3 linked regions of the Pelodiscus sinensis genome follow. Each later gene encodes a partner of the first gene's protein in a complex. Links are inferred from orthologs where the notes say so. Each region holds a gene or a part of one and is shown in the gene's direction. Other genes may lie near its edges.

The links.
Region 2: STRIP2 (region 1) and STRN3 share a complex: the UniProt entries of both Homo sapiens proteins name them as parts of the core of STRIPAK complex. The link is inferred for Pelodiscus sinensis from reciprocal best matches to the Homo sapiens genes STRIP2 and STRN3.
Region 3: STRIP2 (region 1) and STK26 share a complex: the UniProt entries of both Homo sapiens proteins name them as parts of the core of STRIPAK complex. The link is inferred for Pelodiscus sinensis from reciprocal best matches to the Homo sapiens genes STRIP2 and STK26.

Annotation. Positions count from the first base shown.
Region 1 is NC_134711.1:4,396,614-4,404,569, reverse strand, and holds the start of STRIP2 (striatin-interacting protein 2), read left to right. Parts: upstream 1-4,860; 5' UTR 4,861-4,899; coding exon 4,900-5,016; intron 5,017-7,956. UniProt on the Homo sapiens protein: Plays a role in the regulation of cell morphology and cytoskeletal organization. Required in the control of cell shape. Calmodulin-binding scaffolding protein which is the center of the striatin-interacting phosphatase and kinase (STRIPAK) complexes.
Region 2 is NC_134714.1:51,159,693-51,166,646, forward strand, and holds the start of STRN3 (striatin-3), read left to right. Parts: upstream 1-3,919; 5' UTR 3,920-4,110; coding exon 4,111-4,413; intron 4,414-4,566; exon of another isoform or gene 4,567-5,095; intron 5,096-6,954. UniProt on the Homo sapiens protein: Calmodulin-binding scaffolding protein which is the center of the striatin-interacting phosphatase and kinase (STRIPAK) complexes.
Region 3 is NC_134723.1:45,941,795-45,949,131, reverse strand, and holds the start of STK26 (serine/threonine-protein kinase 26), read left to right. Parts: upstream 1-4,302; 5' UTR 4,303-4,435; coding exon 4,436-4,477; intron 4,478-6,322; exon of another isoform or gene 6,323-6,337; coding exon of another isoform or gene 6,338-6,346; intron 6,347-7,337. UniProt on the Homo sapiens protein: Serine/threonine-protein kinase that acts as a mediator of cell growth. Modulates apoptosis. In association with STK24 negatively regulates Golgi reorientation in polarized cell migration upon RHO activation.

The DNA of each region.
Region 1 (7,956 bases):
GAAAGATAACAGGAAAATACAGATTAAAAAGGATGAAATTTCTTCCAGCCCTTCCCCCATACACCCGGTTCTTCCAGCTCTTCCTGTGGAAGTCACTGGGCCTGGTCAGCTGAGTAAAGGGTTTGTTACCCGTTGTGTTCGTGCCTGAAAATCAGTTGCTATGTTTAGAACATAGGAACGGCCATATTGGGTCAGACCAAAGGTCCATCTAGCCTAGTGTCCTGTCTGCCGACAGTGGCCAATGCCAGATGCCCCAGAGAGAATGAACAGACCAGGGAATCCTCACATGATCCGTCTCTGTCCTCCATTTCCAGCTTCTAACAACAGAGGCCAGGGACACCATTCCTACGCATCCTGGCTAATAGCCACTGATGGACCTAACTTCCATGAATTTATCTTTGCTGAACTCGGTAAAAGACTTAGCCTTCACAACATCCTCTGGCAAGGAGTTCCACAGGTAGATTGTGAAGAAATGCTTCCTTTGTTTTAAACCTGCTACCTATTAATTTCTTTTGGTGACCCCTAGTTCTTATGTTATGAGAACAGGCAAATAACTTTTCCTTATTTACTTCCTCCACACCAATCATGATTTTATAGCCCTTAGAATCTCGGCAAGGGGCATGCAGTGAAGAGCTTCTACCTCCCTCCTGCTGTGTTCATTTTGTTCTGGGATCTCTGTCTCTTTTCCTACATGCTGCTGATTAAGTTATGGGTGAGCTCCATTATGTCTCTGGAAGGGGTGATGCCTTTCCACTATCTCTGATTCCAAATCTAGCCCCAGATAACCGTGGTTTCAGATGTGTAGAAAATCCTCTGTAGCCATCTATCTTCTCCACGAGGCCTGACTTTCAAGCACTGTCCCAAATCGTTACTAAGGAGGACAGGTAATAAACTCTCTTTACCTGGGTTATTGTGGTTTTAACCTTATGTCCACAGTCGCTTTGGCACCCTCAAAAGCAGGAGTGTTGAACATCCTCCCATCACTGTCCCAAACTGCCTGGAAGTGACCAGTCACTAGAAAACATGGCTCCTTGGCTCTGCAAAGTTGACATCCCCTGATGCTCTGATTCTGTGATTCTGACAGGAAAGGAAGGGTTTAATCCCGCTGCTGCTGGGCCTTAGGAAACGGACGATGAATGTGAGTGTGATGTAGTCCCCAGCAGCGCTGCTCTAGGAAGGCCTAGGACTAGTCCCTCCCGGGAACCAGCTGAGCCAGCGATGGGCAACCGAGGCTGGTGAGTGGCCGCAAGATTGTTGTCACCAAGACGCTCTCCCAGGATCGGGTAGTTTTGCTCACTGCACTTGCGTAGCTAGAATGTGCGGGGGGTGCCGATTGCACCGTAGCAGCGCTGGGACTGGCTGCAGAGGGAGCGCCCGGCGCTCACATTCAGTGTTGTAGCAATCAGCCTGCTCCTCACTCGACACACACGGGCGGGTCACTTCAGTAATAGTGGTAGGGAAAAACCGACACTGACAAAAACCAGCAGAATCTGGCAGCCCTGCGTGTGGACAACAGTAAACAAAATGTCTCGTAGGCTGCACGTAGAGCCCTGATGTGCCGCAGGCTGCCTGCCACTATGCTAAGCTCTGGAAGCCTGGAGTGGGGGGGGGGGGGGGGGGGTTGGGGTTTGTCCTTTCTCTGAGCACTGGAAGAACATTTCATTTTGGCAATGGGCAGGCAGCCAGAGACCCCTGGAAGACTCACAAGGGCAGGATCAGGTCCCCTGTCTGGTCAGGCAAAATCCTGCAGAGCCCCAGTGAACTCATTTGGAAATGTCTGGAATGTGATACAACGATGCTGAATAGTCTCATTCCTCGGCCAGAGATGCTGTGTCACCGTGGACGCTGCTTTCTCCACTACAGACCTTCCCGTCCTGCTCCCAGAGTGCTTTGCAGCACTGTGAAGAAAGCGTGGTCTCCTTTTACAGCTGGGGAAACTGAGGCACGGAGCCACACAGTGACTTTGGCAAATAGTCTAATTCTGTTTTATATTTCTTCAGTCGCTATTACTGCTCTGTCTGTGGAAAGACACAAGGGGCAGTTCGCATCCCCACGGCGCTTGCAGTCCATTCCTAGCCAAGGAAGATGGTAGACAACTACTGGCAATAAACACTTTTAAATCCACCCGAGTAACTTGCCCCCAAATGCTCAAAATGAGTTGGAGATCTCTCGCCGCCTGCTGTTCGTTTTTAGTAAGTATTGGAGCCGGGGCAATTCCAGAACACTGGTAGAAAGCTAATGCTGTGTCGGTACTCAGGCAGAGCCGATACAGGACTCTAGATAAAGAATTAATGAACAGGAATATAATTAATGACAGTCGACATTGTTTTATGGAAAACAGGTCTTGACAAACAAACCTGATTTAATGCTTGGGGGTTTGAAATTAGATGCAACATATAAAGGCTTTTGAAAGGTGTTTGACTTAGTACCCCACGACAGTCTGATCAGAATTGGCAGTCCCCCGTAGTAAGAGAGCACATGTTAACTGGAGTAAGAAGTGGCTAACGGAGCTCACTCTGTAGCTGTCACTGGAGAATCACCCGCTCGGGTGTTTTGGGGGGGAGGTTGCAGCGATTGGTATTTGGACGGCTTCTGTGCAATATTTTCAGCAATGGGCTGGAAGCAGTGTAAAAGTGCTGCTGATAAAATCAGTGGCTGACACACAGACTGGCCAAGTAGCACAAGAGGTCAGGAATTCGTACGGAGCCAAATGCAATTTGCCTAGGTCTCAACAAAGATGCTAATTTCCTTACCCATTACAAAGATAGCTTCCCCAATTATCACCTCTAATATCATTAGCTCAGACATTAACCTCCCCACCTCATCCCCCCTCTGTTCTGAAATGTGATTTGTCCTTTTTATACGTGTTCACTTTTTTTGATTGTATCCCTTTGGTATATATGGTCAGGCCAATTTTCTTCCACAATTTGATCTGAGGAAGTGGGTCTGGCCCACGAAAGCTCATCACCTAATAAACCATCTTGTTAGTCTTTAAAGTGCTACATAGTCCTGTTTTTTGTTTCAGCTACACCAGACTAACACGGCTACATCTCTATTACTCTTGGAACAAGGCATGGAGACCATGGCGGATGGGAAAGCCGTGCCTTTGAAAAAGCTGTACAGGGGTCACAAGGGACAAGCTTCCAGGTGGGTGATGCTGTGGCAAACTGGGCTAGTGTGTTGTGGGGTCTATAACGGTGCTCAATGGGTGAGGAAAGAGATGCAAACAATGTTAATGGGGGGTGATTAGGGAAGTGGTGGGTTCTCCTTCTCTTGGTGTTTTCCAATCAAGACTGGAAGGTGTTTTTGTCAAACACAAGTGGAGGGGAAAATGTAATGGCTGGTACTGTGGAGGTGACTTCACATAACCTGGTGCTCCCCTCTGGCCTTAAAATCTAGGGGTTGCCCAAAGACACACACAACATCTCCATCAGAATGAAGGCGGGATCCAAGATCAACGGACAGTGAGAGAGGCAGATACAGCGAGCCCTACTGAGTTTCTTGGGGGGGGGGCCGGTTGAGAAGTTAAACTGAGATCCCCTCTGCTCGGTGTTTTTATCACCACCTTGGCCATTTGGACTGAAATTTCTGCCCGTCCAGTTCTGCGATGCCCTTCTGGCTTTCAGCTTCCAACCACAGGCAGCTGTTGTGACGGGACAGACTGAGTCCCTCTGGTTCACAAAGGGCATGGGAACCCGGCCTGAGGAAAAGTGCTGTGGCCACAAGGGAGAAAAAGCCTAACCCTGTGACGCCCTGTCTCCCCTTTCACACGCCCTGGCGTCTGCCTCGTTTCCACCACTGCCCTGAGAGTGAATCCTGCTCTGCGGTGGCCATGTCTCTAACTCCTGCCACATCCCACCTGCTGCCACAGGCCTTCTGTCCCTGGGGGCAGCAACCTCCCTCCTTCCCCTTAGTGCCCGCGGCCTTTTCACACCGTCCCAGCTGAGGCCCCAGCCTCTCCCATGAGAAGAGCCACACTGGGTCAGACCAAAGGTCCATCTAGCCCAGAGTCCTGTCTGCTGACAGTGGCCAATGCCAGGTGCCCCGGGGAGACGGGGGGAAGTGAACAGAACAGGGAATCATTAAGTGATCTCTCTCCTGTCACCCATTCCCATCTTCTGACAAACAGAGGCTAGAGCCACCATCCCTACGCATCCTGGTTAATAGCCATTAATGAACCTAACCTCCATGAATTTATCTAGCTCTATGTTGAACCCTCTTCAAGTCCTGGTCTTCACAACATCCTCTGGCAAGGAGTTCCACAGGTTGTGCGCTGTGCAAAAAAAAACCACCTTCCTTTTATTTGTTTTAAACCTGCTACCTATTCATTTCACTTAGAGACCCCTCATTCTGATGTGATAGGAACAAGGAACTTTGCCTTATTCACTTTCTCCACACCTGCCATGAATTTATAGACCTCTATCATCTTCCCCCTTAGTCTTCTCTTTCCTAAGCCGAAAAGTCCCAGTTTTTCTCTCTCCTCATGGCACCTGTTCCAAGCCCCTCATCATTTTCGATCCCCTTCTCTGAACCAAGGTGCCTTTTGTGAGCGGAGGCGCCCACCCACCTGCAGGCAGCATCCAAGCTGTGGGCGAACCGGGGCTTCATACAAGCTCCGCTCTGTCCCCTTTGAAGCGGCGCCCACTGCTCCTTTACCCTCCCCTGGCTGCAGCTTGTCCCCCAGCCCAGGGCCAGACCACATGGTCTAGTGGTCACCCCAGAGTGTCCTCTCCCCCCAGCCCCGCCCTGGCAGCCGCTCACGCAGCCAATCGGCGCCTAGGGGTGTGTCCCCGGCGGAGACAGCCAGCCAATGGCAGCGCGGGGGCGTGGCGAGTCCCTGGGTGGAGGGGGGGGGGGGTTCAGCCTGCACGTGCTGGCGCGGGCAGGGCAGAGGGGCGCATGGAGGAGACCGGGGCGGCCAGCAGCGCCCTGCCCGGGGACGGGGCGCCCGGCAGGGGGAGGCCGCTGCAGGCCAAGGGGCGGGAGCTGTTCAGGAGCCAGCGGAAGGAGTCCGAGGTGAGAGAGGGGGGGCACCCACCCCCCGTCCCTCTGGGGGACCCACCCACCCCCCCGGGCACTCAGCCCCCCCGGGAACCCACCCAGCCCCCCCGGGCACTCAGCCACCCCCCGTCCCTCTGGGGGACCCACCCAGCCCCCCCGGGCACTCAGCCACCCCCCGTCCCTCTGGGGGACCCACCCAGCCCACCCGGGCACTCAGCCACCCCCCGTCCCTCTGGGGGACCCACCCAGCCCACCCGCCTGCCCCCCCTGGGAACCACCCAGCCCCCCCGGGCACTCAGCCACCCCCCGTCCCTCTGGGGGACCCACCCAGCCCCCCCGGGCACTCAGCCACCCCCCCGTCCCTCTGGGGGACCCACCCAGCCCACCCGCCTGCCCCCCCTGGGAACCACCCAGCCCCCCCGGGCACTCAGCCACCCCCCGTCCCTCTGGGGGACCCACCCAGCCCCCCCGGGCACTCAGCCACCCCCCGTCCCTCTGGGGGACCCACCCAGCCCCCCCGGGCACTCAGCCACCCCCCCGTCCCTCTGGGGGACCCACCCAGGCCCCCCGCCAGCCCCGCCTGGGAACCACCCAGCCCCCCCGGGCACTCAGCCACCCCCCCGTCCCTCTGGGGGACCCCCGCAGCCTGCCCCCCTGGGGATCCACCCACCCCCCCGTCCCTCTGGGGGACCCAGCCAGCCCCCCCGAGGGCACCCAGCAGCCCCCTGGCCCCCCCCAACCCCGCCGGCGGAGGGGCCCGCCCCGTCCCGGGGAGCTGCTGGCGGGGGTCCCGCGGCTGCCCTGCGCCTCCTGCCCTTTGCTCGCAGCCGCGCGCGGGGCCCGATCGCTCCCGGGCGGGCGCCTCCCCGGCTCCGGCGACAGGTGCCTGGGGCGCTGCGGCTCCCCGCGGGGCCCGGGCAGGGGGCGGCCCGTGGGGCGGGGAGGTCGGGGCCGCTGCGGGCTCCCCTGCCCGGCTCGCTTTGCAGCCCCCGCCCGGAGGCGCGGCCGGGCCGGGACGTACAGGAGCAGCTGGGGTCGGCGCCTTATTGCAGCCTCGCTGCAGCTCCTGGCAGCCTGGTGGGGGAGGGGGGCTCAGACAGCAGAGGACTGAAGTGGGGAGGGACTTGTCAGCCCCCCCCCCCGGGAACCAGCGCTGCACCCCCAGATCGGAGGGGCGCTGGAGGAGGCAAGTTTTCTCCTCCCGCACCTAGTGGCAGGGCCATGAGCTGGCACCGGGGTGGTGGGTGCACCCTCGCTCTAGAGATGCACCGGCTGGATGACGCCTGCTGCGTAATGAGCCCCCCGGGAAGTGGAGATGGGGGGGGGGACCTGTCAGTCTTCTGCCAGGTTGGGGTGCTGCCTCTCGCCAGGCACTGGGAACCTGCCCTCCTCCGGTGACTTCATAATTGTTCATTCCGGGGTTTCTTCCTCCGAAGCGCCGGGCCGGGGCACTTGGAGCGAGGCTGCTGAGTAGATGGATGCGGGCAAGCCACAGGTTGGGCGATTGCTGCCGAGATCGTGAGCAGCATTCACACTTGGCTGCATGGGCGACTCGTGGTAGCACCCAGGAGGAGCACTGCCCCCCGCCCACAGGCCCCTGTCAAAATTCGGATTGCTAACCGGGGTGTTCCCTCATGCCCCCTCCTTGTTCCTCTGGCTGGCTCTCCCTGCACTCCCTCCCTCCCTTGCGCTTGATGGAGCCTGCTGGATGCATGGCAGCTGGAGAGACAGTCCAAGAGTTTATGCTGCTGACGGGGCACGGGGGCAGATGCGCATTGGAAGGATGCACACGCCAGCGTTGGGGCTTGCCAGACCCGCCAGCTGGAGCGTAGATTTTAAAAGGAACCGGTAGCGTGTTAACAAGAGGGGGTCACTGTGGGAAGGATTCCGGGAAGGGGGGGGCGAGGAATTGACGGCCATTGTGTGGGATCAAAGACGGGTCCCTCTTCCAGCATGGGGGAGAGCGACGAGGCGCTCGTGGGGGAAAGAGCAGGAGGGCGGAGAGGGAGGCCGGAATGGCAGAGGGCAGGGTCTCGCTGAGATTGATGAAAGGTTGATTTCACAGGTGCAGGAAGGGACCGTATGTCTAATAGTGCAGCACCAACGTCCTGTTCTTCCCCCCCCTCCCCCCGCAAAAGCCAGCCTGGGCTGGCTGAAGGTAGCGCAGTGGGGCGGGTTCTCCGGGGGCCTCACGGGTAAGTCAGCAACCTCCGGAGCCTGGGATGGAGGATTCGAGTTCCCACCAGGCTGACGCTCTTCGGGGGCTCTCTAGCTCTGATTGGGGGCATCTCGTCTCCGCGGCTTCTCTTCGAAGCCAGCACTGAGCCAGAGCGGAGCTCAGCCGCTGCTCCGATTAGATCTGGGTACGAATGTGATGGATGAGAGATGCCGGACACGCCGGGGTGATCCTGCGTAGTGAGAGCTCGGTGCGGAGAACATTGGTGGACGATAGGACGCGGTCTCTGAATAGTCTCGTTCCTTCGGCTGTAAAAACCTGCCCTATCTGTTCTCTGGCGTTACGGGTTGGAAACTTTAGTTTAACCATCGCTGCTCCTCGGGCGTGGCCCTGGCCAAAGTGCAGGTGAGGCGTCTCTTTCCAAGGCGCACCCCGGTGGCCTGGGCAGACGGTGGAATTCTGGCCTTGGGACACAACCTTTCAATCCGTTTTCGGGTCAGAAGTGCAGCGGTCGTTTTGGTTTAGCCGTCTCTGCCGGGGGGATTAACGTTTGCAGGCGCCACTACTTAGCCGAATTCCTCTAGAGCTTTAGTGCGCCGACCGTAGATGGCCAGCGCGCTGGATTTGGTCCCCGCGTTGGTTGTGTGCTGTCGAGGCTCCCTGACGGCGTGAGATCAAAAGTCAGAGCTGGAAGGGAGGGTCAGGCAGAGCTGGGGGCGGGGAGAGACATCTCCGTTCTGTTTTTGGCTCCGTTACTGACCTGCTTTGTGACTTTAGAG
Region 2 (6,954 bases), on another chromosome or scaffold:
GTTTTCTAATTATTATGTTTTGGTCCAAATAGCATTGCTTATTTTGGAACCTGCTTTTCTATCCCTTGTCCTGTTGGGCTTCTGGCACTGGTAAGTACTTATTTGAATGAATTACACTCAAATTTGGCTGGTCTATGGGCTAACTAGTAATACATCAATCTAAACAATAGGTCATAATCAGTCACTGTGACTCACGTTATCGAAGAAAAGAAAATCCTGGAACAAGCACAGATTGAGGCTTTTAAATAATTCTCAATTTGCTTAGGGAATGTGTTTTCATTTTTCTTTCTTGGTGTGTGTGTTTTCAGAATGAGTTGGTGTGCTCCTTGACCTCAATAGATTGCTGCTGTTCTCTTTGCTGTGGGCAATTACAGTAATGAGAAGTGGGTGACACTTTAGAATTTCCTTTCCTATTGTACATGCATTCTAGGATCCTCAAGTTTACAACTCTGAATTTCTGCCACTTTCTCCAAGATCTTCATGTACTTTACTATTAGCATGTAACTGCAAGCAAGCAGCATAGGTGGAACTGGGAGATTGTTGCCATGGTGTAAGATGATGGGTATGTCAAAAATCCTATTAACCTGTTACATAATAAAGTCAATGTTTTTCAAACATAAAAATCTAAAGTTTGGCTTTTAAATGCATATTTAGTTGCCTAAGGCTAAGATTTGCCAGAAGTACATAAATCATTGAGGAGTACGAGTCACAAAACAAACATCTGATTGGTTTAGCCCCTTCCATTTTTAAAAAATACTTGTCTTCACTATGGGGATAAATCAACTAAAGTAATGCTACTTCAGATATGTGAATAATATATCTAGAATCAACACGGTTTAAGATTGATTTACTGCGGTGTCTTTGCTGTGCCACACTGCACTGAGACAATTTACTTGGTTCTTCTCAAAGAGGTGGAGTATAGGGCTCAACTGGAGATCACTCAGCAGTCAATTGAGCAGCTTTTCACTAGACCTGCTAAATCAATGCCTGCTGCATCACTGCCCAATGATATGCAGCTTTGAGATCTCCAGTAGTGAAAACAAGACCTTAGTTATATGGTATTTTGGAGTTAGAGCTGTATTTTTATTATGTACTAGGTGGGCACATATACACATGCATGATGATTTGGGAACCGAAAAAGCAGGAAACTGAACAGTTAAAATAAAGATGTATTTTACCTGAAGTAAAATAAAGATGTGTCAGGGCAGTGTTCTCAACCAGTGGTACGAGTACCCTTCAGGGTACTTGAGAGAAGTCTGGAGGGAGATGGGGTACTTCAACACAACTGAAATTTGGAGAAAACTGAATTTTTGTTGTAAGTTTTACAGCGCTTTATTATTTTTGTACTTTTTATACCCAAAAATGTCATCGCCTGCCCAGCTACGATTAAGTTGTTTAAACAAATGTGTTGCAATGGTACAGAAAGATTGTGTGTGTCTGAAAACGGTAGGTAGTAGGGGTACTTCTAATTTTATTTTGTTTTAAAGGGGGTACTTTAAAAAAGGTTCAGAAACACTTGTCTAGAAGACACTAAATGAATGAGAGGGAAGAATGAGTTGTAGCGGGTGTAGAAGGGAAAAGGTCAGAAAGGGCAAGACCGCAGCGAGAATCTGGAAGAAAAAAAAAAAGCAGATGAAATGGTGAGAGCAAATAAGTTTATACAAATGATTGTATATTAAGAATTCATAGGAAATCAGCCTATCTGGCTCTGATCTTATTACCAAAAGCAAGTAAATGTATAGTGAGGAAGGAGCATTCACATTAATAATCTCCCTTTTTTTCCTGCAAGTCTTCAATCTGACCAGGGAGTAGGACTTCATTATCAAGTCTCTGTAAAGTATCATGCAGCTTTATTAATGTTATCAATTATAGTAATTTGACATAATCACCCTCCTCAAATACTATTATGTGAGTTACAACAACTGTGGGATTGTAGTAACTTCTATGTAGCCTTAGTGGAGGAAAATATGGCCTTCAACTTGTAAATTCTTGATCTTCAAGAAAATCCCAAAACCAAGGAATCCCTATTAATATAGGGAAGTCAGGGAAGAAGCGAGGAGCAAAAACCTCACTCTCCGCTTATTAGCAGCCAAGGAACACTACATGTGAATGGACTGAAACCACACTGAAACCATCAGGATCTCGAAATTATATGCTGCCATTGCTACAGAGTTAACCATATTTTAAAGAGCAATAATATTTCCCACTCTTCACTTGATACTGATAATTAGTGGAAACTTGTTTTGAGATTTTACTGCCTTCCACTTGTCTCAAATTGTAGAGATTAAGTCTCTAAAATAATCCTGTCAATATATTTTTATATTTGACCCTTCACATGAAGTATATCACAACATAGGCACTGACTTTCTAACGTATTGGACAGAGACTCTGTTCAGGATTCACCACTCCACCCCTAACTCTCAGGGGTCCCAGCCTCACCCTGCCTTTTCCTGCCCCTGTTGTGCTCCTCACCCGAACACTTTCTGGCCTTGCTCCTCCCTCTTACTTCACAACACCTCCTGCTCTTACCCACACTAAAGCTCTGAATATTGCTATCACTGGTGAAACTGACCGAGTTGTAGCAAGTAGGTAAATTTTAAAATTATTTCCTTAGCATGAAGAGAAGTTCTGAATGAATTAGATAAATAACCATCTCATTGATTCACACATCACAAATCATTCAGAGATTTTTTTAAAAGTTGCCTTAAAAAATTAAAACATCAACCAAACAAACATGGTCCCTTCATGAATGTGACAAACATATAAAATGTTCACATTATCAGTTTAATAAGCCTATTCAAAAGAAAGTCTCCTTATATGACAAGTAACAGCTTATATTGTTAAAAAAATAATTTAAAACCCTCAGATTTACTTTTCAATAAATTGACATTTCTGCTAAGATTAAAATACAATATACACTTTCATTAGTTTGTTTCTACTGCACTTGGCTACATTTCTATCACTAATCTACGTTTTGTTCGTCTTTAAAGTGCTACCAGACTATTTGTTGTTTTTTAAGTTTATCCTATAGAACCAGGACAGCTGTGGCAAGAAGTAAGCCTCCCAAATCTGAAGACGACCTCTGGTGAGAAAGCTCATTTCTCACCAACAGCAATGGAGCCAATAAAAGATATTACCTCACCCACTCTGACTCGCTAACCATCCACTTTTAACGCCAACAAGTGGAGGACTCCCAGTTTCCCTTAGCTACATAAGGGCACGGGCATTGTCAAAACTTCTTCCCCAACCTCGCACTGAACGGGACCTTGCTTAGAGTTCGTGCTTTGGCTCTGCGTTTCAGGCGACAGGAGCCTGGTTACATTTGTCCCCTCGCCGCCTCTGGGTGACCGAGGTGGGGCGGAACGGCAGCGCCACCACCTCGCCTACCCCGGAGCGAAACTGGCCGCGGGGAGGCCCCCAGCCCGGGCTGGGAGCATTGGAAGAATGCGACAGCCATGTGCGGCATCCGCGGCTGGCGCAGCCTGCGAGCCGAGCCCGTTTTAACCTGGCAGACCCGTGCCCCCGCGCGCGCGTGTCGGGGGGAGGGGCAGGATGAGGCCCTGCCCCCCGGGCTGCTGACATCTTCTAAACAAACGGCAGCGGGTCGCAGCTCCCTCCCGGCAGCCTGGGAGCAGGGAACCGCCTGCCGCGGAATGAGGCCAGACGAAGCAGCCCCCGCCCCAGCGACTGGCCTCCAGCAGCGCTCGTCTCTAGTATCGTGTCACTCACTTAGCTCTGGGCCAGGAGCGGCTCGGGGCTCCCTGGGCGGGTCCTGGACACAGACAGTCCCGCCCCCCTGGCTCCTCCTGGGCTCGCAACCTTTGGTGCGCATGCGCACGTCAGCGATCTCGGCGGAGGGTGTTTCCCGGCACACCCCGCGCAGCTCCCCCGCCCTCCCCGCAGTGGGTGGGTGTGAGATGGATCGGAGACTGTAATGGCGGCTGGTGGCGGCTCGGCGCTGCTCTGACACCCGGATACTGCTCGGCGCAGCCTCCCCCTCCTCCCCGGGCCCGGCCCGCCCCCTCTTCCTCCCCCCCCGGCCAGCGCCGCTCCCCCACGCCCCTGTCCCAGCGGGACGCGGAGGAGGAGGAGGAGGGCTCCCCGCAAACAATGGACGAGCACCCCGGAGTCGGAGGCGGGATGGCGGCCGCTCCGAGACCGCAGCAACAGCCGCCGCCGCCGCAGCCAGGAGGGAATATGAACGTGTCGCCTGCAGCGGGCTGCGTGGGGGCCGGAGGGGGGCAGCAGCCCCAGGTCCCGGCGGCAGCGGCGGGCCAGGACGGGGGGGACCGCGCGGAGCTGTCCCGGCCCCAGCACTACACCATCCCGGGGATCCTGCACTACATCCAGCACGAGTGGGCCCGCTTCGAGATGGAGAGGGCGCACTGGGAGGTGGAGCGGGCCGAGCTGCAGGTAGGAGGCCGAGGGCCGGCTCCTCTGGGGCACCGGATCCAGTGACGGGGGGCTGAGCTCTAGGGGTGGGGAGCGAGTGGGCCGAGCTGTAGGTGCGGGAGCTGTGGCCAGTGGCGCTTGCCAGTCCCCGAGGCAGCCTGCGCGGGACGGTACCTGTCCGAGGTGCGCCGGGGAGGTGATGTCCATTGGCGCTGGGGCAGGCGAGGGCGCCGCTCGTCACGGCCCGAACTGAGCTCCCTTCCCCGGGGCAGCCATTTTAGTTTCCAGTATGGCGCCCGCCTGGGCTCCTGGCTCGGGAGCCAGCCCCGTTTTGTAGGCGTCCCTCCACGCGCAGCTTGCCGGTCCCGGCGGAGGCCGAAGGGCAGACCGCTGGGGCGCTGCGTCTCCCCGGGGACGCTGGGCCTCCTGGGAGAGGAGGATGCGCTCTGACAGCTACAATAACCTCCCGAACGCAGTGACTGGGGGGCTGCCAGGTCCTGCCCCTTGGGCCGGCTGATCCCACTTTTCTGACTGCGGGTCACAGGGACCAAGAGCCCCCAGGCCTGCAGAGCTCAACTCTCCCATAACCTCTGGGAGTCTAGATCAAGGTCCATGGCCTAAGTGAGGGAGCTTCCCACTCATAGAAACAAGGGAGAAGTTTGGTCTGCCAATCCTTGGAGACTCTATCAACCAAACAGTGGAGGTCAGTCAGAACTATCAACCCTTAAAAGGTGTAGTTGTGTGTTTATTATGAGCAAAAGCTAAGAAACTGAAAATAATTGTGAAAAAGGTTGCCTATATGGTGTTTGATTCCCAATCCAGTGGAGTTGGTTATAAATATTTCCTGTTGTGCGTGTCTTAGTAATAGGTTACTGGGAAAGTAAGTAATAAGTGAGTAATAGGTGCATCTGAGAAGTGGATTTTATCCACTAAAACTTAGGTGAAATAAATCTGTTTTTAAGATGCAATAGGACTCCTCGGTTTTGCAGATACAGACTAACACAGCTAGCTCTCTGAAACATATTTTGTAGTGTTTTGGTTGTAGTATACTGTCCAATTGAAAATGTTCCACTATTCACATCAATTATTGTCATTTTACTGTATTCAGCTTTTGTCATCTAGTTGCTTCTAAACTCACTTTGGGTACACTGACTTTCATTTCCTGAGGTAGGAATATTTAGGACTAGTTGTATGATATTTTCAGTAGAAGGCAGTTGCCTATGGATCTGGTTTCCTCTGGGTGTTTTTTCAGTGCTCATGTTTATATTTTTATAAAACAGTTGTTTGCAGCACTTAGCAACTAAAATTGTATCAAAACATTTGACTTCTGTAAAGGTATATTATGTTACTATAGCTTGATATCACACTGTACTGTAAATATAAAACTGGTCTAAATTTTTTAAAGATATATCGTATTGAAAATACAGTACAGGCAGTCCCTGAGTTACGCAGATCCGACTTAGGTCGGATCTGTACTTACGAATGGGGCTTTTCTCGCCCTGGAGGATGCAGGTGGCGGGACGCCCAGACGCGCCGCGGTCCCCCCGCGGCTTTGCTCCGCGTCTCCCTGGTCTGCAGACCAGGGAGACGCAGAGCAAAGCCGCGGAGGACCCGGGCAGCGGCACCTCGGCGCGTCTCGGTCCTGCTGCCCGCGTCTCCATGGTCTGCTGGGGGGGGGGCACAGCTAGTGCCCCCCCCCAGCAGACCAGGCCTTTCTCGGGGATGCTTGTGGTAGAGCAGCTGGGGCGCTGCCGGTTGGTCCTGCAGCGCCGCTCCTCGGCGCTACTGGACCAACCCGGCAGCACCTCAGCTGCTCTGCCCCAGGAGTCTCCAAGTCAGCCGCTGCTGAAACTGACCAGCGGCTGACTACAGGAAGCCCGAGGCAGAGTTTCTCTGCCCCGGGCTTCCTGAAATCAGTCGCTGATCAGTTTCAGCAGCAGCTGACTTGGGGACACCTGGGGCAGAGCAGCTGAGGTGCTGCCCGGTTGGTCCCCGCAGCGCTGAGGTGCGGCGCTGCAGAGACCTACCAGGCAGCGCCCCAGCTGCTCTGTCCCAGGCATCCAGATTCAGCTACTGCTGAAACTGATCAGTGGCTGATTCCAGGAAGCCCGGGGCAGAGAAACTGTGCCTCGGGCTTCCTGTAGTCAGCCGCTGGTCAGTTTCAGCAGCGGCTGAATCTGGACTCCAGTTCCGACTTAAGTACAAATTCGACTTAAGTACAAACCTACAGTCCCTATCTTGTACGTAACCCGGGGACTGCCTGTACTGTTAGTGAGTTGTTTGATCTCTCTAGATGTCATATTGATGAACATGACGAATTTTTTGGATATTATGTATGTGAGGCTATATCCCATGGCTTAGTGTTTTAGTCAGACCACTATCATTGGGTTAGGGCTCTCATCATTACTCAAGTTGTGAAGGCATAAACAATGAGAACAGCCCTTATTTAGCAGCCTTAACCCTGCAAACATGCAATTAAGTTGTTCCCTAGATGCCAATATGAGTACTCCACATAGATCCAAGTAACTCTTTGGACAATTGAGATCTGATATGTAAATGTTT
Region 3 (7,337 bases), on another chromosome or scaffold:
TCTCTCTCTCCAGTTGTGTAAGGGCTTTCTAGAATGATAATGGGCCCCATTGGAACGTTTGAGGAGGAGAAAGGGTACTATCCAAGAGCAAGGGCCTGCATGCTGGCTACAGTTAATTTTGCACAAAAACCTGTGGAGCATCCATACCTCAAGTGCATTTTTGTGCAAGAAAATGTACAGCAGAAGGGCAGAACAGAGGGCTTTTTGTGGTGTAGGTATACCTCTTTCTACGAGGAATAACTCCTTTTTGCACAAGAGTTCTTGTGAATGGCCATCAGAGATTTCTTGCGTAAGAGTGTTCCTACAGTGTGGATGCTCTCTTGCGCAACGGCACATCGCTTTGCGATGTGCTTTTGAGGTGTGGACGTGCTTTTGCACAGGAAGTTTTTGCAGAAGATCTCTTCTGCAAAAAGCTTCTTGCGCAAAAACTCTGCAGTGTAGACAAAGCCAAAAAGTACTGCCTAATTCATATGAGCTCAGTTCTCTAGATCTGAGCAAATTTGGGTTATGGAGGTGTCAGACAATGGAGTAAATTTTCAGAGCAACTGATACATCACAAGAAAGAACCATTTTGGATAAAAAGGCATTTTAGACCTACTGTAGATATGCACTGTCATAGGTTTTACCCATAACTATACATGAGTGCAGGGTACTAAGTACAGAGGAAAGTCACCTGAAATACTATTTTTCCTTCCTTTCAAACATGAAGCAGAATTGCCCATCACAGAAGGGAGGTAAAGTAAGGTCAGGAGGTTCTGTGGCAGCTAAGAGAAATAACTGGAGCTGGACAATTGAAAAATCATCCTCAAGAGGGGAAAATCATCGCTAAGGAAGACTAAACCCAGGAGCAGGCTCATATCTTAGGGGATGGAATAACTGTAAAAAGAAAAAACATCACTGTGTCTGGGTGTTTACCAAGGGGGACACAGTGGAGATCAGCCAAGTGTTAAGTTCGAACAGAAGAACGAAAGCTGGGGGTGATCGTTATGTTGGAGGCAACTGGTCAAGTGGAGAAACTGAGCCACAAGAAGGTGAACAGTGGCTTCCCCATACCAGCAATGCAGCCGGTGAAAAGAGAGGACGTTGCCAACTTTGTATCCTCCTCAAAGGAGGCTATGGAAGAACTGTGGACTACTAGATGAACAAATCAAAACATAAGACTTGCTTCGTTAGATGTTTCCAGGATGTCAAATTATAAACCCACCAAACTGAGTTGAATACAGTGATGCCTGTACAAAAGGCCACAATTCCTAAGCAATTTCTGTCTCAAGAGGATCTCCAATAGCTATTGCAGACATCTCCTCCTTCATTAAGAGAGCAAATGCCACGGAAGAGCAGAACACAGTGTCCTCCTTGTTGATAAACAGCATCCTTGGGGAAGGACAAGTGGGTTGCCGCCCGGGGCCCCCACATGGTGGGGAGGGGAGAAGGGTACACTTCACTGAGGCCCAGAGGTCCAGGCTGCAAATTGTCATACATATGGGAGGGAGGCCTGTGTTATAAGTTTGTACTAGGCCCCAAAAAATTATGCTTGGCAAGCAGCATGGGAGAGCGGTGCTAGCACACTGCAGTGACCCCCATCAGGTGAGCTTGGGGAGGGAAGCTGAGCCGAGCCTCATCCATGGGCCTGGCCAAGGAACCCCTGAGCCTTGGTCAAGTATGAAGGAACACAGGCCCTCATCCATGGGCCTGCCAAGCAAAGGGCCCACAGACTTGGTTCCTGCAGGGGGAGGCCCACTTTGGCAGAGGGGCACCAGGTGGGTGTGAAGGTCTGGGCCCTGTTCTGAGGCCCCCGGCAGTAAGGAGTATGGGGGGAGGGCACATTGAGAGCCGGGGGATCCATCTCCTGTTCCGCCCCAGCGATCCCCAGCTCCACACTGCAGGCTCCATCCCCCGTGCCCTGCAGAGACCCCCAGGTCCATCCCCCGTGCCCTGCAGAGACCCCGAACTCTATCCCCACAGGCTCCCCCGTGCCCTGCAGAGACCCCCAGGTCCATCCCCCGTGCCCTGCAGAGATCCCGAACTCTATCCCCACAGGCTCCCCCGTGCCCTGCAGAGACCCCCAGGTCCATCCCCCGTGCCCTGCAGAGATCCCGAACTCTATCCCCACAGGCTCCCCCGTGCCCTGCAGCGACCCCCAACTCCATCCCCACAGGCTCCCCCTCCACCGTGCCCTGCAGAGACCCCCCCTCCATCCCCACAGGCTCCCCCCCACCCTGCAGAGACCCCCCCTCCATCCCCACAGGCTCCCCCTCCACCGTGCCCTGCAGAGACCCCCCCTCCATCCCCACAGGCTCCCCCTCCACCGTGCCCTGCAGAGACCCCCCCTCCATCCCCACAGGCTCCCCCCCACCCTGCAGAGACCCCCCCCCTCCATCATAGAATCATAGAATAATAGGACTGGAAGGGACCTCAAAAGGGCATCGAGTCCAGCCCCCCGCCCTCAAGGCAGGACCAAGCTCCACCTACACCACAGGCTCCCCCCCTGCCGTGCAGAGACCCCCCCCTCCATCCCCACAGGCTCCCCCCCTGCCCTGCAGAGACCCCCAGGTCCATCCCCCATGCCCTGCAGAGACCCCGAACTCTATCCCCACAGGCTCCCCCGTGCCCTGCAGCGACCCCCAACTCCATCCCCACAGGCTCCTCCTCCACCGTGCCCTGCAGAGACCCCCCCCTCCATCCCCACAGGCTCCCCCCCTGCCCTGCAGAGACCCCCCCCTCGATCCCCACAGGCCCCGCCCCGCAGAGACCCCCCTCGATCCCCACAAGCTCCCCCCCGCCCTGCAGAGACCCCCTCGATCCCCACAAGCTCCCCCCCGCCCTGCAGAGACCCCCTCGATCCCCACAAGCGCCCCCCCCACCCTGCAGAGACCCCCCCTCGATCCCCACAAGCTCCCCCCCACCCTGCAGAGACCCCCCCTCGATCCCCACAGGCCCCGCCCCGCCCTGCAGAGACCCCCCTCGATCCCCACAAGCGCCCCCCCCGCCCTGCAGAGACCTCCCTCGATCCCCACAAGCGCCCCCCCGCCCTGCAGAGACCTCCCTCGATCCCCACAAGCGCCCCCCCGCCCTGCAGAGACCCCCCTCGATCCCCACAGGCTCCCCCCCCGCCCTGCAGAGACCCCCCGTCGATCCCCACAAGCGCCCCCCCCGCCCTGCAGAGACCCCCCGTCGATCCCCACAAGCGCCCCCACCGCCCTGCAGAGACCCCCCGTCGATCCCCACAAGCGCCCCCCCCGCCCTGCAGAGACCCCCCTCGATCCCCACAGGCCCCGCCCCGCAGAGACCTCCCTCGATCCCCACAAGCGCCCCCCCCGCCCTGCAGAGACCCCCCTCGATCTCCACAGGCCCCGCCCTGCAGAGACCCCCCTCGATCCCCACAAGCGCCCCCCCTGCCCTGCAGAGACCCCCCGTCGATCCCCACAAGCGCCCCCCCGCCCTGCAGAGACCCCCCTCGATCCCCACAAGCGCCCCCCCTGCCCTGCAGAGACCCCCCTCGATCCCCACAAGCGCCCCCCCGCCCTGCAGAGACCCCCCTCGATCCCCACAGGCTCCCCTCCCCCCCTGCCCTGCAGAGACCCCGCTCGATCCCCACAGGCTCCCCTCCCCCCCCGCCCTGCAGAGACCCCCCTCGATCCCCACAAGCGCCCCCCCCGCCCTGCAGAGACCCCCCCTCGATCCCCACAAGCGCCCCCCCCGCCCTGCAGAGACCCCCCTCGATCCCCACAGGCCCCGCCCTGCAGAGACCCCCCTCGATCCCCACAAGCGCCCCCCCTGCCCTGCAGAGACCCCCCGTCGATCCCCACAAGCGCCCCCCCGCCCTGCAGAGACCCCCCTCGATCCCCACAAGCGCCCCCCCTGCCCTGCAGAGACCCCCCTCGATCCCCACAAGCGCCCCCCCTGCCCTGCAGAGACCCCCCTCGATCCCCACAAGCGCCCCCCCTGCCCTGCAGAGACCCCCCTCGATCCCCACAAGCGCCCCCCCGCCCTGCAGAGACCCCCCTCGATCCCCACAGGCTCCCCTCCCCCCCTGCCCTGCAGAGACCCCCCTCGATCCCCACAAGCGCCCCCCCCGCCCTGCAGAGACCCCCCCACAGGCCCCGCCCCGCCCTGCAGAGACCCCCCCTCGATCCCCACAGGCCCCGCCCTGCAGAGACCCCCCCACAGGCCCCGCCCCGCCCTGCAGAGACCCCCCCCCCCGATCCCCCAGGCCCCGCCCCCCGTGGGCGGTCCCGGCTCCACCCCGCGCCCCGCCGAGCGGACGGAAGGACGGAGCCGCCGCAGCCTCCCGAGCCCAACATGGCGCCGGCCGCCGCGGCGCCCTGAGCCCCTCCCGCCATGGGCAGCGCGCGCCGCAGCCGCCGGGACCGGGCCGCGCGCTAGGGAGCGGGCCTCTCGCCCCGCCTGGAGCCCGCAGCGCTCGGGCCCGGCCGCCATGGCCCACTCGCCCGTGGCCGTGCAGGTGCCCGGCATGCAGGTGAGCGGGCCTGCGCCGGGCCGGGGCCGCGCGGGGGGGAGATGAGCGATTCCTGGCTCTGGCGGGGGGGCCTGGGCTGTGGCTGGGGGGGAGCAGGGCTGGGGGGGGAGATGAGCAGTTCCTGGCTCTGGCGGGGGGGGGCAGACACAAGTGGGGGGGTTGAGGGGGCCAGACACTGGTGGGGGGAGCGGGGGGGTTGGGGGGGCCAGACACTGGTGGGGGGAGCGGGGGGGTTGGGGGGGCCAGACACTGGTGGGGGGAGCGGGGGGGTTGGGGGGGCCAGACACTGGTGGGGGGAGCGGGGGGGTTTGAGGGGGCCAGACACTGGTGGGGGGAGCGGGGGGGTTTGAGGGGGCCAGACACTGGTGGGGGGAGCGGGGGGGTTTGAGGGGGCCAGACACTGGTGGGGGGAGCGGGGGCCTGGGCTGTGGCTGGGGGGGAGCAGGGCTGGGGGGGGAGATGAGCAGTTCCTGGCTCTGGCGGGGGGGCAGACACAAGTGGGGGGATTGAGGGGGCCAGACACTGGTGGGGGGAGCGGGGGCCTGGGCTGTGGCTGGGCCCCCCATAGCACTACAGGGGCTTTGTTTGGAAGCCACCTTTCATCCCGCAGCACCCAAGTGCGTTTGAAGGGTTAAAAGAGGCCTTGCTATGTCACCTGCTGCATGGGTGTGTCTGCAATGACAGGCCATGTCAGCCCAGCTGGCCCGGGTACACTGCCTGGCGCCAGCCTGTGTGGAGGGTTCCCCGGGGGGCGCGTGGTGCATGGAAAGAGATGGGGAAGGTGAAGCCCCGCCAGCTTACAGCGAGTTTGCTGCTGTTCAGAGTGGTCCTTCTGTTGAGAGTCTTGTGGCTGGCACCAGACTGGGAGCCCCATTTACAAATGGGCTTCTGTGTGTATTTGTTGCTGCTGTTGACAGTTTTTGCTTTTTGGATACACTGAAGTACCTCTGACATGGTTCCTCTTTCTAAGGTCCTCAAGCAGATTTAGGGTGGGGTTCTCACCTAATTCTAAAGAATTAGGCACCAGATGCCCATTTCAGTGGCATTTGGGCATCAAACTCCTTAAGTCTTGTATACATTGGGAAATTAGGTTGATGTGACTAATATCTGTTAGGGGTATTACACAGCCACGCCCCAGAGCATTTCAGTTAACCATTCGAATGCCCCTGGTAGACAGCAGGAGGCCAAGGGCAGCTGTGTCTGCCTAGCTGCCATCTGTTAGGGAGGGTGGAGCACCTCTACCCACAGAGAACCTCCCCTGTTGGTGAAGATAGCGTCTTCACTCAGTTTGTGTAGACATATGCTATTTTCCTTTGAAAACGAGTCTTGTAACTTTTCCCAATGAGAGTGATGATCCAGAATGTTTTCAAGACAAGTCATTTCAGCCCTGCACTGCGATGTCCTATTTTTAGCATATCTCAGTTCTTGTAAAAAAGCTTGGGTTTTGTAAAATAAACAAAACAAATTTGTGCATTCCTAGTTATCTAATTTTTCTAGTAATATCTGTTCCTCTTTTTTCCTCTACCTAGTTTAAATGTCAATTACTTTTTTACACACCACTCTACAAATTAAATAAAAATAAAAAAAGCAAATGAATTTTTCTGAGACCGTGTATGTCCATAAACTCTGGAGGGCTTTGTGCCAGAATCCTAGGAGGCACAGCTACAACTAAAAGTACCAAACTCTAAAAAATAGAAAATACAATTTCTGTTTGAGTTTTTTTTTCTTCATTTTGCAGTCATGCCTGTGAAATCAAGGAAGAAATTAATACAACAGCTTTTAGGATGAAAATTGGAGAATTCTGTGTAGAGTAAAGGGAGATTTCAAAACTCCTAGTAACAATATTTTGAGTGTGATTAGATGCAGCTTGTAAGTATTTATGGAATGTTTACCCAAACACTATAATTGTGCCCTTTCCAAAAATGGTGAAGGCTAATGAACTTTCAGCAAAGTGGGCCGGGCTAATGATAACATTTGTAAGGCTAAAGTTAGTACCGTTATTTCTAAAGATCTGCACCATTTCTGTACTTCTTCTGAAATCTCTTGAATTTGTCCTTTCAAAGTAATTGCATCATCAGTTTTCTATTGTGCAAACAGACATCAAACCCACACTTTGCTATATCGTTTTAACTTGACAATACACTTTATTTCCACATTATATCAATGTTGATGATGGTACATTTTTAAAAATTAGAAGCAAGTGAACTTTTTTGGAAAATGACTGAGAAATCTTAGTCTAAGCCTTGTTTTTTTAGTTACATCCCTGGTGTGACTTCTCTTCAGAGAATTTTCCTGTATTGCTTTGATAAGTATTTTGAACACTTTCTGTGTGTAAATTCCATAATCTGGTTGTCCATTTCTTCATCTTAAAAGTTGCTCTGCTATTCATTTTCTTGAGCTGCCGTCTACTCTAGGGATGTGAGCAACTAGTCGACTATCCGATAAGCAAATGCTTATCCAACAGTCAACATGCTAGTCAACTAGTCGCTCCCCCCCCCCCCCCCCCCTTCCCCTCTTGCTGCCTCTATCAGAAAGAGGCAGAAAGGAGGGAGGAAGAGAACAGGGTGGTTCAAAATGGCAGTGCCCTAGGGCTGTTGCTACATTTCAAAGGTGGAGGTGCTCTTATCGACTAATCGAATAGTTGATGCAAATTGCATTGACTATTCAATTAGCCAATTAATCTAAATTTAACATCCCTAGTGTAGTCCAGACAGGACTCTGACATTATTTAGAGCACCATTTTCCAATATTTACCTTTACCTTTCACTTCTGCATTTTTAGTTTAACCCAGACCTTGTTGTGCACATGTAGACTTAAAGCACGCTTTCCTAAAGTATTAATAAGTACATTTGCATAGGAT